Macaca fascicularis: one gene and its partner. The protein of the gene in region 1 purifies or fractionates together with the protein of each later gene. This does not show direct contact. Links are inferred from orthologs where the notes say so. Each region holds a gene or a part of one and is shown on either strand. Other genes may lie near its edges. The genes, in order: PLD1 and ARF1.

Region 1 (9,125 bases):
AGAACACTTGGACATAGGGCAGGGAAGATCACACACTGGGGCCTTTGGGTGGGTAGGAGGCTGGGGGAGGGATAGCATTAGGAGAAATGCCTAATGTAAATGACAAGTTAATGGGTGCAGCAAACCAACACGCACATGTATACATATGTAACAAATCTGCACGTTGTGCACACGTACCCTAGAACTTAAAGTATAATAATAAAAAAAAAGAAAAAAGTTATGGAAACATTGAAAATACAGAAATATTTCAAATAAGTCATTAGATGGGGGAGTTGGATCCTTTTGGGCTTGTTGGATATGAAAAAGCTTCACAGGGACTGGCTATGGGTAACTGAGAAGACGTATCTCTGGTATTGCAGGGGGAGCTGTAGGCGTCAGTGTGGGGCCTTTATAGTCACATGGCAGACAGCTCACAAGTTACCGTTGCTGGAAAAAATGCTGAAACATACAAATGAGCTGAAATGAGGATACAGAAACACAATGCTCTGCACATCTTGGCAATATCTGCTGTGCTGTTGTGTTCCTCATTCTCTCTTGAGACTTTTGGTCTTAGCCACTGTCATTTTTTCACAAAAAAATTGAGCCTCACTAACGACACCGTTCTGATCTTTCAGTGAGTCACTATTATGGTGGTTGAAGTGATTTATGTCATCCGGTGACTGGGAATACAACATCTTGCTCTATACTCTGTGTCTCCAGAGAAACATGTGCATTGGTTAATTAACGTTAGCAATTAGATGCTTGTGAATGAATGAATGAAATGAATGATTGCTAATCCACAGACTGTCAGGTGGACTGAAGGGCACAGAAGTCATACAGATTATGTCAGTGAGGATTATTGCGGACAAATAATGAATGCAGACTTGCTATCTGAAAGAAAAGGGCACCAGGGCCTTACAGAATCAAGACAAAGTGAAAGAACAGCAGGAGTGAAGGAAACAACAAAAAGATAAAAGAAGAAGAAAAAAAAAAAGACCCACAAAACCTAGGAAGTAAAAGTTTCCTAGGTTTTACTGGTCAGGGTAAAGCTGCTGCTGGGACTGCTTCTGTCTCTGTTCAATAAGCTCAACCCCAAAGATCACTGGCTCCCTCATCCCTTGAGATTCAGTCCACCAGGCCTATAGGGTAAATGGAATGGTGGTGGGAATATGGAAGAAGGATCTGATCTTCACTTTTGAGGTTACTGCTTGAAATTGCTCTCTTGCCAGGACTATGCCTATTTGGGGAGAGGTAATTTTCTACAAGAAAATGGAACTGTCAGAAAAGATGACCGATGTTGGTATCCCAAAATGACCCAGATGATCTGGATGGCAGTGTTTGTATAAAATGTACCACAAGGGAAAATCTGGGGGAGCACCATTAGTATGTAACTATTATAAAATAGTTCTGTTTCTGTTGAAAGCATTATTACAAATTAACAAGAAACTAATTTGCCATAGAAAAAGAACAGACAATGGACATGAATAGATCATTTTCAGTAAATGGCACAAATAATAACATGAAAAAATAGTGTTTAGCATTACTGACTATAAACAAGTTGATTAAAACAAGATATGATTTTGATTCATGACATTTTCAGGTTACAAGCAAGGCAACATTTAATACTGGAAGGTAATTTTGCAGCCTCACACAGCACCTTTAAAAAATGCTGATCCAGTATTTCTACTTTTAGGAATCTATCCTAAGAATGTAGAGATCTTGACAAAGATGATGCAACGTAGTGTTCATTCCAGCATGATCTGTAAACTGCAATAAAGTCTGAAAATATCCTAAAACATTTGATAAGTGATTGTAATAGTCTTCAACCATAGAAATGATACCTTAGAGAAAATTTAGTGACAGTAAATAATACTCCATTTATAAATACTTAGTGAGATAAGGAAGATTCTAAATTCCGTACAGCACGGTTTTAATTTTATAACAAACCTTTAGGCATAGAAAACATAAGGAAATATACTAAATGCTAATAGAGAGTGTGTGGGGGAGTTATAGGTGATTTTAATTAAAAATGTTTTTCTGTGGTCTCTAAAACATAGATGTCCTTTTTTTCTAAAATATAGATGTCAAAATTATAAAAATGAACATATATTGTTTTTATTCTCAGAAGAAAATATAACAACAGGATTTCAAATACCACTTTGACAAAAATGTCAAATGCATATTGAGATGAATGTATAGCATGATTACTTAGTCATCGTTTCTTGACATATTTGAAGATACGAAAGATTTGGAAGAAAAATCACAAAATCTCTCAGTAAAATAAAAATAATTACATACAAAATTATACTACTTCTAAAACTTATGTTTGGGAGTCCATAAGCTTAAGTTCATCTCTAAACAACATATGGCATTTCCTCTTTTATTCCTCTATCCCAGGGAGGCAGAAATTCAGTTACTGTAAGGGCACTTAGATAATTTTCTTTCTTTCTTTCTTTCTTTCTTTTTTTTTTTGAGACAGAGTCTTGCTGTGTCACCCAGGCTGGAATGCAGAGGCACGATCTCAGCTCACAGCAACGTCCTCCTCCCAGGTTCAAGTGATCCTCCTGCCTCAGCCTCCCTAGTAGCTTCGATTACAGGCACCCGCCTCCACCTCCGGTTAATTTTTGTATTTTTAGTAGAGCTGGGGTTTGGCCATGTTGCCCAGACTGTTCTTGAGCTCCTGACCTCAGGTAATCAACCCACCTCGGCCTCTCAAAGTGCTGGGATTACAGGCGTGAGCCACTGCGCTTGGCCTAGATAATTTTATTTCTAATTAGATTTAGTAGAAAGACCTATTGTTGGAGGCAAGTGCCAAATGTTTTCATAGTGACACTTAAGAATTTGGGATGCAATTTTATAGGCTGCTGCTTCTCAACCAAAAGCATTATAATTTCTAAAGACAAGCTTGTAAGAATGCAGTTACGTGTGTACACAAGACTTATCAGACCATCTGTGACTAATAAAGCTTGAGAAAGAGGGGAGGAGAGAGGGTATTCTGCCTTCCAGTAACATGCTTGTCTGAAACTTGCTAAACTCCTCTTAGGCAATACTCTGCTCAGAGAGCCATGTGTTTAATTGTAAAAACCTGTCAGTATCATAGGATTCAAAAGACATCAATCATTTATGTCAACAAGGAAAGAGTGAGGGCTGTATGACTCTTCTATCATTAGGAAAAGATGTGCTCAAGAGACAAAAACGTGGTCTAAGGAGGGCTGAGCAACTGTAGGTTACAGGAAAACTGAGTTCCAGACTATAATTTGGCCCCCCTCCCCTAATTTGGACTGGTATATTATATTTTTCATTTCATGTAATGCCATGTGTGCAGTAAGACATTATGTAACTTGGCCAGTCTCGGTGTGTAATATCCACTAAATGCTTTAAAGTGGCTGAGGTTATTAGCAGTTTGGTGCATGGGGAGGCCATTGCTTCCCTTGGCTTTGGCGGGATGCAATATTGTGTAATGAGGTTGGAACTGGCCTATATTCAAAATTACATTCCCAAAGGGCTGCTTATTCAAGCCACATGACAACTGGTTCTCTTTTTCTTAAGACTTCATTCTAAGTGGACTAAAAACAGCAAAATTGCCATGTTTGAACAGTTCCATAGGTAGACTGGGTCTTTTCCTTGTTTTGCTCCCAATTTATTATTTTATACTAAGATTTCTGAACTACACCCAGTTTTAGAGACATCGGGACACAAATTCCCGTCCCCCTCCATCTAAGCTGTGTGACCTCAGGCTGGTTACTTCATGATTCTGAGCCTTCATTTCCTTACCTGTAAGTTGGCGTTAACACTTCCCTAAGGAGGTGTAAGTCTTATAAAGACGCCAGCAAAGCTCCAGTCTCTTAATTATGTCGCCTCAGGCAATTTATTTAGCCGTTTGATTTGCGGATTCCTTACTTACAAGTTGGACCAGTTGTGGCTACTATCCGCAGTAGTCGAGGAATAGGTATGATAGGCAAAGCTCCGGCAACGGTGGCTGGCCCTTGGCGGCTCAAGAGGACCTGATAATGGTCCTGCTAGCGAGCATGCCCTAGTGTAATGCGGTCGAGTCATGAAACTTTGGGAAAAGAGAGAACAAGGAAAGCGGGCGATCAGAGGCCCAGCCGCGAGACCCGCCCCGCTGGGGCCGCCAGCCTGCACCGCGACGCCCCAGGACCCGGCACCGCCTCGCTCCACCCCTGCGAATCCGGGGCGAATCCGGGCGGAGAGTTCCTGGCGGCCGCGCAGCGCAGAGCACCCTCCCGCCCGCCTCCCTCCGGTTGAGCTCCAGCTGTGCCAGAGGCACGCGGGCCTGGAGAGTCCGCAGCCAACGCGCAGGTGCTAGCGGCCCCTTCGCCCTGCAGGTAGGAGCCGCGCCGAGACCCGCATCACCCGGCGCCTGTGGGAGCCGGGTTTCCCCTGCCTTCGCCTTCAGTCCCTTCTGGCTCCCAACCCGGTCAACTGGCCGCTCCCCGCCCAACTTGGACGGGACTTCAGTGAGTGAGTCGGCAGCGGACTCCCCAGCGATCCCCAAGGGCCTCCCTTGCACGGCTTCGGGTGGAATTCCTGCAGGGTGAAAGCTGACCACTCAGGCACGCACTTTTGCAGCGCGGGCGGCTGCCTGGAGCGCAGAGCCGCGCAGGCTCCAGGCTGAAGCCCGGGCGTCCTCTGCAGGATGCACCGCCCCGCCGGCGCGGGGCTTCGGGTGCAGTGTGTGTGGTGTCCCCAGGTCATCCGGGCGCCCTTGGTTCGGAGGCGCGGTGGCATGACTGGGCTGGTGGGGGCGATGGGACCAGCATCCCGTACCAACCAGGAAGTGCCGCGTCCCAAAGCTTCGAGCCCAGCCCTCAGAGCACGGTCCCGGGGGTGTGGTCACAGCCGCGGGTGTCCGCGCCTCCAGCCATGTGATGTGACCACTCGGAGGCGGGGCGGGGGGCCCGGGGGCGAGCAGCAGGGCGTGTGTAAAGGGTCTTGTTCGTCACAGTACGATTCAAGGTATTTGGGACCTAGGGCTCAGATCCAGGAGTGCGGTCCTCCAAGCCTTCCAAAGGATTTTGTGACGCCCTTGAGAACCGCCCTTGTAGACTCAGTCCTGAACTACCGCCACGCCTGTGTTTGCTCCTCCTCATCTGGGATTATTGCCTTCTTTACTTCCTCTGTGAAGCACTAAATACGAGTAGCTTTTTAAGAACAGACCACAACAGTTTCTTCGTTTGACTATCACTAAGTCTGTCTCCAGAATGGGGAGCTCCGTTAACTTTATCAGCCAGCCCTGCCAATTTTAGTTAAGATAAGCCTTTGTGGGCCTCCAAAGACCTCTGAGAGACTAGGTACCCAGAGACCTCTGAGGTATGTTAAATGGTTTAATTCGTGGTGTTGCAATTAAAACTTAAAGAAGGAAAGGAATCTGCCATTTGAACTGTTAACAGACACCACATTTATACACTGCCTATTTGAATAAGAATCTCTTTCGATATTAAATGTTTTGTGACACACAAGTGAATTTGTACACAGTCTTTTAGCTTGAATTTGTAGACAGCCTTTAAATGTTGTTTGGGGATCTTTGGACTAATTGTATAAGCGCCCAGTCTGGCTTCTCAAGAACCAGTACAGTTAACAATCCATATAAAAAGTTGGAATGCTGCCTGGGCGCGGTGACTCACGCCTGTAATCCCAGCACTTTGGGAGGCTGAGGTGGGCGGATCACCTGAGGTTAGGAGTTCGAGACCAGCGTGGCCAACATGGTGAAACCCCGCCTCTACTAAAAATACAAAAATTAGCCGGGCGTGGTGGCACACACCTATAATCCCAGCTACTCGGGAGGCTGAGGCAGGAGAATCGCTTGAACCCGGGAGGCGGAGGTTGTAGTGAGCCGAGATCATGCCATTGTACTCCAGCCTGGCTGAAAGGGCGAGAGTCTGTCTCAAAAAAAAAAAAAAAAAAAAAAAAAAAAAAAAAAAAAAGAATACTAAGGCTTTGAGGAAAAAATGTCTTTACAATGTTTGTTCCTGATGACAGAATAATTATGAACTATAGTAAGTGCTGTACAACGCTCATTTAGGTTTGTAGACTTACTTATAACTAGGTGGTGGGGAACCGTGCTTCTTGAAAGTTGTATGATTACTTAGTGTTTCTTAATTAAAAACATAGTTACAAATTTTATTTACCTTTAACTCTTACATGGTTTTAAATTTATTTTTGTTCCGAAGGAAAAGTAGGACTGTCATTTTTAAAAAAAAAAATTTCCAATTTTATTTTAGATACGGGGATACATGTGCAGGTTTGTTACACGGACATGTAGCATGAAGCTGAGGTTGAGGGTACAACTGATCCCATCACCCAGGTAGTGAGCATAGTACCTGATAATTTTTTAACTTTTGCTCTCCTTCCTCCCTCCCACCTCTAGTGGTTCCTAGCGTCTATTGTTGCCATCTCTATATCCATAAGTGCCCAATGTTTACCATATATATATATATATATATATTTATTTATTTATTTATTTATTTTGAGACAGAGTCTCACTCTATCTCCCAGGCTGGAGTGCAGTGGCACGATCTCGGCTCACTTCAAGCTCCGCCTCCCGGGTTCACACCGTTCTCCTGCCTCAGCCTCCCCAGCAGCTGTAGTACCTTCCACTTATTAGTGAAAACATGCGATGTTTGATTTTCTGTTCCTGCCTTAATATGCTTAGGATAATGCCCTCTATCCGCATCCATGTTGCTACAAAGGACATGATTGTGTTATTTTTTATTGTTGCATGGTATTCTATGATGCATATGGACCACATTTTCTCTTATCCCGTCCGCAGTTGATGGGCATCTAGGTTGACTCCATTTGCTATTGTGAATAGCGCTGTGGTGAACATATGAATGTGTGTGTGTTTTTGGTAGAACAACTTATTTTCTTTTGGATATATACGCAGTAATGGGCTGCGGGGTTGAATGGTAGTTCTGTTTTGAGTTCTTTGAGAAATCTGCACCTGCTTTCCACAGTGGCTGAAATAATTTACGTTCCAACCAACAGTATATAAATGTTCTCTTACAGGATTTTTTTTAAAAAATTTTCTTTTAATTTCACTTTTGTTGTAGTAAAAGATGCACAACATAAAATTTACCATTTTAGCCATTTTTCAGTGTGCATGTAGTGGCATTAAATACGTTCACATTATTGTGCTACTGTCACCACCATCCATCCACAAGACTCTTCATCTTTCTTACAGGGTTTTAATAACATTTTAATGATAATGGTTGTGTTGCAGGCTTTAGTTTTATCACTAAGCAAGGTTTGAGTTCCTTCTCGTAGCTTTAGAGAAATGCACCTTTTAAACTTTTTTTTTTCTGAGGCAGGGTCTCACTCTGTTGCCCAGGTTGGAGTGTAGTGGCACAACAGTCTTGACCTCCCAGGCTCAAGTGATACTCCCATCTCAGTTTCTGAGTAGCTGGAACTATAGGTGTGCATCACCACCCTTGGCCAGTTTTGTTTGTTTGTTTGTTTTTGTAGAGATGAGGTCTCACTGTGTTGCTAAGGCTGGTCTTGAATAACTGGGCTCCAGCAATCCTCCCATTTCGGCTTCCCAAAGTGCTGGATTACAGGCATGAGCTACCATACCCAGCCAAGAAATGCACTTTTAAAAGAGAAAAGGTAAAAAGCCATAAACAGACTGTTTAACAAATCTTATCTACAGCCGGAAAGGCCTAATACGTTACTGTTTGAAAATAAACTTGTGATGTATTTAAACTTTTATCTAAGGGTATTGTGGGGTTTAGCTATCAAGAGGAAGGAACACGTAAGGCAGTTACTGTTATTGATCATTTCCTCTCCTGAGTATCTATCAGAAAAATGGCAATTGTCAGTGTTGTTGTCTTTAGCAGTGCAATAGTACCTATCTAAATTATGCTTGAACTCAGGTAATGTTGCCTTCTTAGTAACTAAAGGCAATGTTGATCAAACTTGAAACTACATGTAGCAATTTCCTGTCCATCCCAGGTGTTTACTAAAGATTGATACTACGGGACCCAACACATAAGATATGTCTCTTTAAACTTGTAGTTAGGCTGAGTCATTGTGTTCACAAGAAAAGCTGTAACTTTGCAAGGTCTGGTTTTATGTTTACAATCCTTTAAGTCTGAGCACCACAAAATAAAATGTATTTGCTGGGGGGGTGCGGTTAAAAGTTGTCGCAGGGTTAAAACGAGAAACATGTAAACCTAACTTTCCCATAGGCCTGTGACATTTCTGGTTACAAAGAGAATCATACAAATCACATCTTATGCTTCAGTGGGAACACATTCCAGTGTGTTAGTTTCCCTAAATTCACACTACAGTGTAAAATCTGGACCCCAGCTGTTTTAGTGCTGGGTTATTAAGCAAAAGTGTATGTTATATAAGTGTTTCATAGTATCACAGGTTTTTTTCCTATTGCAAAACTTTCTTAATTTTTAAATTTATTGAGCAAACATTACAGCGGCAGAATAAAATCAATTATTTATTTAATAAACACTTACATGGTGTTTACTTTGTGCCTTGCACTTGTCTAAGCATTTTACAAACATGAATACATTTAACCCTCAAACAACCCTGTAAAGTAGGTAATCTTATTATGGCCATTTTATTTATTTATTTATGTTTGTTTTACTGTATTTTATTTTGTAGAGATGGGGTCTTGCTATGTTGCCCAGGCTAGTTTCAAACTTCTGGGTTCAAATGGTCCTCCTATCTTGGCCTCGAAAAGTGCTGGGATTCACAGGTATGAGCTACTGTGCCTGGCCTATGCCCATTTTATAGATGAGGCAGTTTGAGGCATAGTGAGATCCCACAACTAGCTCATGGCAGAGCTGGGGATCCATCTCTGGCAGCTTGCACCCAGAGTTTTGACATTGCTGTCTGTTTAGAAAAAAACATAACCTGTGATTCCATCCTCCTAACAAACTTTTTTTTTAAGGTTTTTTGATTCCCATTTTGTCTTTGTTCTTTGACGTAATCGCAATTATAGTGCAACTCAGACAATCTGTTCAAGTCCTTTACTTTTCGGAAGAAGAAATTAAGGTGGAACATGGGTATGTCCAAGGGTAGAAGCACTGGGGCAGGGTCCTGGAGATCCTCTGCTGGGCCAGGCCTTAACTCCCTGATTGTAAGGAGATTGGGCCAGGGATCCTGGGAGAGTC
Region 2 (9,044 bases), on another chromosome or scaffold:
GCAGTGATATGATCACAGCTCACTGCAACCTTGACCTCCTAGGCTCAAGTGATCCACTCTCCTGCCTCAGCCTCCCAAGTAGATTGCACTACACAGGTGTGAGCCACAGTGCCTGGTTAATACAAATATTTTAAGGAATATGTCACCACCAAAACTGCCAGATGTATTCATAGTATTTTAAATATAAATCAATAAATTTGATTAGTGAGTGAGCAACTGCATTCCCATCTACAGAAGATACGAAGCACAGGCACATCTAACTGCCTGCATTCCCAATCCTCAGGATAAGTCTAGATATCATCTAGCAATAGTCCTCTTGACCATTTATACCTAAATCAAACCTATAAAATACTTAAAAGTTTCCCGTATAGTGTATATGGTACTGCAAAAATAACTTGCTGTGTGACACAAATGGAAAGATGTCTCATATCTAGCCATGCTACCACTGGAAGTCCTTTGGAAATGAATCTTTCTAGCTTGCTGGCATCCCTTCAGGGAGTAAAAACTATTTTAATACATTCTGCCTAGAAGATTTTCAAAACACACTATTTTGAGGACACAGGAAAACCCAAACTCAGTTTCTCACACACTCTTATAACACAGGTCGCTTCTCACACCACATGAGCAGGGGTTTCTCCACACATGCCAAGTAAGCAACCAGTTCTGCGTTCTGCAGCAGACACCGGATAGGTGTCCTTTAATTCAGTTCAATCCTGACACTGTCCACCTGGAGGCAATCACAAGCTCCAGGTTATTTTACCTGTGCTTCTGGACAACCATCTATAAATCAGGGTTCCCATAACTCCTTCCCCTTGGGTTCAATTAATTTGCTAGAGTGGCTCACAGAACTCAGAAAAACACTAAAGTTTACTGGTTTTTCATAAAGGATATTACAAAGGATACAGATGGAGAGATGCATAGGGTGGGGTATGAGGGAAGAGACACGGAGCTACCTTGCCCTCCTGGGCGTGCCACCCTCCAGGAACCTCCATGAATTCAGCTTTCTGGAAGCTCTCTGAAAGCCCAGGCAGGCCTTTTGGGTATTTCCCATCAACAAGGAATTTCATGCTATTTCAGAATTGTACTTAAGTGTGGTTCAGTCTGAACATTCCTTTGTACAAATGTGGAAACACGGGGCTGTAGATGCTGTTAACTACTGAAGGCAAAAGTGTGGCTTCATGATATTAGTGTGATTGATTAAATTATTGGCTACTGGTGACCAGCTCAATCTTCAGTCCCTCTCCACTCTGGGGAAATTGGAGGGTGGGGCTGAAACCCTCTAATCCTACCTTGGCCCCGTGACTAGCCCTACCCTGAAGTTTCGTAGGGGCTGCCCGTCACTGGTCAACTCATTAGGGTACAAAAAGACATCATCACTTTGGAGATTCCAAGTATTTTAGTAGTTGTATGGCAGGAAATGGGAGGCAGGCCAGATATGTATTTTGCAATCCACAACTACAGACTTCTAACTTCCTGAAATGTTCATGGACTGAATCAAGTCTCCCGTTCACTTCATGCTGTACACTAACAGTGAGCCCTGGGCCTCCGGGGTGTGGGAGAACGTCTGCCTTCTAAACAGAATCATTCCCAATTGCTGTGCCTGTGAAAATCTGCCTTTTATGCTTTCCCTGTCTCTTCTCTTGATGTCATTTAGGCTTTTCCTGTTATCAGGGCCTGTAAGAAGCACCACCTTTCCCAGTCTGTTGGCTGACAACCGGCTGCAAGCCCTTGTTACCACTGTGTGAGAACCAGGAAACCAGGATTAGTCAAGGACATTATGGCTAATCAGCCAGCCTTACTGTCTTCTCATCCCTGTAGATGGTTGAGTGACAGGACCCTGGGGGAGGACCTGAGAGCCTCTTGGGAACAAAAAACATCCAGGACATGTCTGTCAAGTTGCTAACAAGGTCATCTGACCCACCTGAGAATGTGAAACTACCTTCCAAGACGGTGCTGGGCACCTGCACAGCTGTAAGGTGATAAGTGCAACTATGCCTTAAAGAGTTTATAACAACCACAGGAAAATACGAACCTGAGGATGAGGGCAAATCCTGGAATCCCAACATGAAGGGGCTAAACCTTTTCCAAAAGACCACTTCAGATGCTACAGGCAGGATACCCCTACCAACCAACCACACCAATGAGGAGCAGGCACAACACAGAAAACACAAGTTCTCATAATTTAAGATCCCCACTGCAAGGCCTTTTCCTGTTTCTCTCCCAATTACCTCTGACAGTGCACTCTACTTCCTTTCACCCTCTTGAGTTTACCGAGGTGAAAGGTCAGGGGGAGAGGACAGAATGCCTATGAGAGACAGTATGGGCCTGCCAGCCCAGGCTGGCTGCAGCCTCTTGCTCAAGAGAATGGTCACAGCTCAGGAAGAAGTGTGTACAAAAGCTTGGTGAGCATGGCCTGTGAGTAAGAGCTGGTTTAAATACACCAATGAGACATTTAATTTGAAGAATCTAGAAAAAACTGCTTCAACTCTCTGAAACCACAGTCATATACTTTGCGTGTGAACTTGCACAACAGGTTTTTTTCTCTTAGTTAGGTCTACTTCTATGATCACTGCAGCAGCTGACAGTCCATATTAAATTTTACTGAAGTGAAAAATGAAAGGCCAAATGCATCTTCGAAGCTATGGTTTCAAGCCTGTCCAGTCTGTAGGGGCAGATGAGCAGGTGAAGATGTCTGAATGTCCTCTCCATATTGTGCAAGAGGTACAGCGCATAGCTAGACTACATGATGTACAAAATCAGAACTGTGAGGGGCACAGAACCAGTTTTTGCTTTTCACTCACAGTCATTCTGTGACTCAGCTGTTGTCCAAACCAACTGTTTCAAATCTTTTTCAACTAGCAAATCTGAAAAACTGCCTGACAGGCAACAGCATATTCCTACTGCTGCAATGATTTGGATTTATTTTCAACAAGATACACCTAAAGACAAGTGACAGATATTCTCCGGTCTACCAACATGTGAAAACGTGGACAACACACCTCTAACAATGTGGCCAATCAGATGTGTATACTAACATTTATACTACTCAATTCTTCTCAATTTTGGACCCAGCTAATAGTACGGCATTTCAGGACCTTATGGTTCTGGCTACCTTGGTAGTGCTGGTGAAAATTCAAATTAAATGAGGACATCATCCATGCAGTCACACGTGTTAGACAATGGCTAACGCAAAAGCAGAGGGCCACAGGGGCCGCACACAACCGCACCTCGGCATCTCACACTCCTCCCAACACACTGCGGAAAACGACAGAACCACCAGCCTTGCAACAACCGGCGGCAGAGAAAACTGCTGACCACTAGTTCTGAAACAAGAAATACAACTGCCCACTCCAATAGGGGCAGTGGCACCAACTCTACAGCTCTAAACTAGGCGGCGACTTCGGGGACCATCCAAAGACTCCGACCTCCCTTCTTTTTCTGCCCGCGATTCCGAGCGCATTTCTGCTCAATTCCTGCAAAGCAGCAACTGGCTGCCTGGACGGAAAGGGAGTCCGCCAGGAGGTGCCGTCGGAATGGTTATCTAACACTCTAGGTGCGCACGGCTGTCCAGACCCAATCTCACAAGCCGTAACCACCCAGGCTGTGCCCCGAGAGAGCGCTGGGGCCGGCCTCTGCGGCCTAGAGTCTACGAGCAGGTCGTTCCGCAGGCAAGTTAAAGATTCACCAGCTCAAAAGAGGCCTTCTTATCTACTGCCGACAACGTCAAGGAAACCACCCTGGAGTTAAAGCGAACATCGACCGGCCCTCTGGAAGCCACCGGAGACTTCATACTGACCCCAAATCGCGTCTCACTGTTGTGAAGGGAGGCACTCTGGGCTTCCCCGGAGGTCCACGCATTCCGTTCAGCAGACAGGGAAAGGCGCAGGGTCCCTGTCCACTGCCCGCCCGCTCGCTCTCACCGCCCCTGACCCAGTGCCTTCCTCAGAGGAAACACGAACTGGATGGAGTCGGGAGGCGAAGGTGCAAGCCCCCACCACCTACGTGACCTTGACGGTGTCTTGGGGCCGCCTGAGCCTCAGTTTCCCGGTCCCCGAGGCAGCGGTCCGCCCGGATGCCGCTCGCTAGCCTGTACTCGGGTGGAGGAGGCCCCACAACCCCCACCGGCCCCCGAGACCGCTAACCCCAACTCTCCACGCGCGGGCGGCCTCGGGAAACGTGAGGGGCAGAGGTAAGGGAAGCAGGAAGCCCAGGTTTCCTGGAGAAGAGCCTGGCGTCCCGGCTGACTTCCGGGCGACGGGCGGGGGCAGGGACTGGCAGAGGAGGACAAGGGGCCGCGGGCGACTCCGGGAACCTGTGAGGGGCGCGAGGAGCTCACCGACCCGCCCGCCCTCCCAGCCCCGACTCCCCAGCCTCAGCCCGGCCCGTCCTCGTCCGCCCCCGGCCCGGCCCTGTCGCCGCCGCCGCCGCCGGGATCGAGGTGCCCTTCGCGAACCTCAAGTCGCCCCGAGGCCAGTCCCCAGACCCCGCCGGCTCCAACTTGTGTGCGGCCCACACCGACCCGCGCCCCTCGCCCTCACCTCAGAAGCTGCTGCTTCGAGCCAGGCGTTGGTTTCGCTCCCACAAGATGGCGGCTCTGACGGCGGCCACGTCAGCGCCTGCGGGCGCGGGGAACGTCGGGTAAGAGGCGGAGACGCCGGGAGCTCCGCCCCCCGTGCGCCCGCGACGCAGACGCGCTGGCTCCAGAAGGGCTGCAGGGGGCGGGGCCGGGGACACCCAGCCCCGGGCCGAGGTCCTAGCTCGCGCGCGCCTTAGGGGTGCGCACCCGTCTGCGCCTGCGCCTGTGAGTCTTCCGAAAAGACACCTTGTGGCTGCCACACGCCCGTTTGGCAGATTCGGAGACTGAGGCCCGGGGGGCTGCTGCAGCAACTGGAGCGGCGGGGCCGGGTTGCCACCCTCCTCCTCCCCGACCCGGCAGTCACCGCGAGCCCTCGGGGACCGCGTGAGGACTGGGGTGCGAGGCGCCCCTTCGCTGGGATTGGGGTCCCTGGCTCCCAGGCTGCGCGGGTCCGTGTGCCCCGGCCCTGTGGAAACCTGTGGCACTCGCGGGGCCTCGGCGGAAGGTCCGAAGGAGGGAGGCCTGCTATGTCCCCGCACTGGCCTCGGCGCCCCGGCGGCCGCAGTGACTCGCGCGGGCTCATGCCTGGGCTCATGCCGGGGAGTTGGCTACAGATGAAGCAAAGGAGGAGGTGGCCTGGGGACCCCGGGGGGAGGCCGGGGCTGTGGGGGTGGTGCCCAGAAGGGAGGTCACAGCGGTCTCTAATGAGCTGGCCTTTCAGCTGAGATCCAGTTGAGGCGGAGGAGACCCCGCTCCCAGGAAGCCCTCCTGGATTGGTCAGAAGGGAACAGAGGCCTGGCTCTGCCCACCACCCTCAGGTCTTCTTGCCTCTTCCCTTGTGCAGCTGTGAGGGATTGGGCTTGTGGGAGAGCGTCCGTGCAGCACAGTTCTCTGGGTATTCTGGAGGTCGGGAATCAACCTGATTTGTCCAGGGGGAGGCCCGGGGGCAGGGCCTGAGGGGTGGGGTCACTGGGCCTGGCCCAGGCCTCCTGCGCCCCTTTGCTGCCGCCATCACCTACCTTGCTTGCCCCTTGGGCAGGGCATCCTCACTGCCACTGCAGGCTGCGATAGTCGGAGTTCTCCCCCAGGGCTGCACCTGCGGGGGCTTCGAAGGACCCCAGAAGTGGTGACCCTCCTGCCCCCAAATTCAGTCCCTTTTTCTGCCTGGGGCTCCCCTCTGAAATCTCACCTCTGTGAAGCTGCGGCAGGTTGTCTGTTTAGGGGAAGGATGTCTCCCTCCCACCCTACAGGCATCTCAGATACTCTTGGAAAGCCCCAGGGAGGGGTGTGGATGCCTGTGGAGCCTTCTGATTGTGCTGCCTCTCCCGCTCAGCCAGAACTGGGCCATGCTCGGACATTTCATGGGCGATACATGTGGTTATGGCCACTTTAGGGCTGAAGGGACCTGGCTTTGGTTCTCTGATGGCAGAGCATGGCCAGGGGTGGCTCCAGTGTCACTGAGTGGGGATTGTGTGGGAACCAGAGCCTGCTTCCCCTTCCTTTAAAATACTCTATTTTTTTTTTTCTTTTTTTGAGATGGAATCTTGCTCTGTCGCCCATACTGGAGTGCAGTGACACAATCTTGGCTCACTGCAATCTCCGCCTCCTGGGTTCAAGCAATTCTGCTGCCTCAGCCTCCCAAGTAGCTGGGATTGCAGGCGCCTGCCCCTACGCCCAACTAATTTTTGTATTTTTAGTGGAGACAGGGTTTCACCATGTTGGCCATGGCTGGTCTCGAACTCCTGATCTCAGGTGATCCACCCGCCTTGGCCTCCCAAAGTGCTGGGATTACAGGTGTGAGCCCCCGTGCCTGGCCCCTTTAAAATATTTTATTTTAAATGTGAAAAAATGCAGACAGGAAAGAGTGTATGTCAGATACATGCACAGTTTAAAAAGTAATAAAATGGATTTCTGTATACACAGCCCTAGGGTTAAGAAATGTACCTTCCCCAGCCTGGGCAACATGATGAGACCCCATCTCTACAAAAATTTTACAAAGATAGCCAGGTATGGTGACACACACCTGTAGTTCCAGCTACTTGGGAGGCTGAGGTGGGAGGATCGCTTGGGCCCAGAAGTTCAAGGTTACAGTGACCTAGGACTCTGCCACTGCACTCCAGCCTGGGTGGCAGAGTGAGACCCTGTCTGCAAATAATAATAATTTTTTTAAAAGTCCCTTTCCGCTGATTCTGTGCTCCTGGTTTGGCCTCCCCACCACCACCAGGACAAAAGTGATGTCTTCAAGCCAGACAGGCGCAGGGGAGCCCAGGTAGTCACACCCAGATTTCTGCCCCTGGAAGGAGACCCACTAGGGAGCTAAGAAGTGTCAGGCAGTGATTTCCTGGGGAAATTGAGGCCCTGGTGCTCTCCCAACACTGCCTAGGGAGTAGGGATCCCTTTCTCTCTACTCTGAGGTCCCTGGGATCAGATGAGGTTTAGCCAAGAGGGGTGGGATGAGCTGGCTAGAGGGAGGGCATTGGGGGCCAGGCTGGACAGGGACCCTCCAGCCTTTGTGGCTGCCTCCGCTGTCAGTCTCAAAGATGCCAGCTCAGGTGGGGCTGGGCTTCTCTCTTCTGGGGGTGGCTGCACCTGAGAACCAGGTCAGAGACACGGATGCCAAACAACGGAACGGGCTGGCCTCCTAGGGAATGCGGCTAGAGGGACAGATGAGCTGTCTGGAGCAAAGAAGCGGGAATACCCATGTTGGAGACCTAGTAGGCAGCCATTGTGGCTAGGTGAAGGGGACCCCAGCCCACCTCAGGCCTGGCAGGCACTTTGGTCAACCTCTGAGTGCAGGACTATGAAGTGTGCGGCATTTGAGCCAGGTCACAGATGTTCAGAGAGGTCTCACATGTACCTGATGTCACCCAGCTAGGATGAAACCCCTCTGAAGCTTGACTACTCCATGCCCAAGTCTGCTTATTGCCAACACCTTTAGTCTTTCCCCAGCCCTGCCCTCCCTCTTGGGGAACAAGCGCTTTGGTGCCTCTGCAGACTGCAATGTTATCTTGGATTCCTCCAGTGATGGGCAGCTCACTACTACACCAGGCATCCCAGGACAGAGTTCTCCTCTCTGGATTTCCTGCCCCACTCTGTCTCCCACATGGTTGCTCTGCCGGCTCTCTCTGTTGGGAGACTATAGATGGGCTAAAGCTGGAGAATCATACTGCAAGATGCCAGGGCATTCTGCGGGGTGGCACTGCCTCCACCAGAATCAGTACTTTCTCGTCACGCTCAGGACTTAGTCCAAACACTCAACCGCTAAGACCTGTGGCAGGAAGAATTCATACCCTTAAAGACGTCTCTGGGGGGTGAGGCGGGGATAGGACCTTGCTGTCCCCTCTGCCTGGCCCTGTTTCCTTCTCCCCCAGACCCATACCCAAAGCCTACCCTCTGGCTGGTCACACTACAGGACCTGGAGCATGCCACAGGAATTATTATGGCTGTTCTGACTGCATGGGCCCTGGGAGAGGCCCCCACCTCCCAGCTCAGGGTGGCCCTGCCCTGCCTTCTGAGCCTGGGCTGGGGTCTGGGGTCATTCGGGAAGCTGGTGGCCAGTGGTGGGGGTTCCAGGGGATTGCCTGCACTACATAATGGCTTAGGAAATTACAGTTGAGTTCCGTGAACTCCAGGGAGTTAGCTCATATTCCTCTGACTTCTGGTCCTTTTGAAGCATCACCTGTTTCCCCTAATACTCCAGCCTCAGTTTCCCCATCTCATTGCCAGCCCTCCAAACCTCAGATGAAAGCCTAGAGCTGCACATGCCCCTCCTCTGGACTAGCTCTCGGGGGACCTTGTTTTCCCAGGCAGGCTGGCTTCTCAGGGCAAGGACTGTTTTCTGTCTGGTTCCAGCCTCTTGTCATGCCTAGGTGGACAAATGGGGAGCCAGTGAGGTGAGCACCCTGGGGAGGGGTTGCAGAAAAGCACATCTTGGCTCTTCTTAACCTCTGGGTGACATTTAGCATTTCCTCCCATCTTGAATGCAAGCAGCATTCCCAAAAAGCAGTATTAGCAGTACCTGTGGTTTTTGTTGCTGAAATATCAGAACTTTTCATCTCAGAGCTGTTGCATGAAATCTGTAAAGATATTTTTCTCTTTTTTATTTTTATTTTTAAAGACAAGGTGTTTCTTGGGCTGGTCTTGAACTCCTGGGAAAGTGACCTTCCTAACCCAGCCTCCCAAAGTGCTGGCAGTACAGGGGGGCACTAGCACGCCCGGCTGGAAATACTGTTTAAACTCCCTGATCAACTGAAGTGACAGAGGTGGCCTGGTTTTAACATTTCAGGTGCTAATAACAAAAGAAGTTCTGACTCTGGGTACACGTACTGATCCACTCCTGCCATCAGGATAACAAATACATGGCATCCCCAAAGTGACATGCCACAAGTCTTAAAGTGTCTGATGACGCCATTTCTCCAGTCCTGTGCATCACTTATCTTAGGCATTGGTGAAACCCTACTTGGCTAGA

What was found.
Region 2: the proteins of PLD1 (region 1) and ARF1 purify together in Homo sapiens (affinity purification with western blotting; 3 studies listed by BioGRID, with this or other methods). This does not show direct contact. The link is inferred for Macaca fascicularis from reciprocal best matches to the Homo sapiens genes PLD1 and ARF1.

What each region holds. Positions count from the first base shown.
Region 1 is NC_088376.1:83,279,305-83,288,429, reverse strand, and holds the start of PLD1 (phospholipase D1), read left to right. Parts: upstream 1-4,185; 5' UTR 4,186-4,325; intron 4,326-4,880; exon of another isoform or gene 4,881-5,310; intron 5,311-9,125. UniProt on the Homo sapiens protein: Function as phospholipase selective for phosphatidylcholine. Implicated as a critical step in numerous cellular pathways, including signal transduction, membrane trafficking, and the regulation of mitosis.
Region 2 is NC_088375.1:85,988,555-85,997,598, reverse strand, and holds the start of ARF1 (ADP-ribosylation factor 1), read right to left. Parts: upstream 4,607-9,044; 5' UTR 3,859-4,606; coding exon 3,797-3,858; intron 1-3,796. UniProt on the Homo sapiens protein: Small GTPase involved in protein trafficking between different compartments. Modulates vesicle budding and uncoating within the Golgi complex. In its GTP-bound form, triggers the recruitment of coatomer proteins to the Golgi membrane.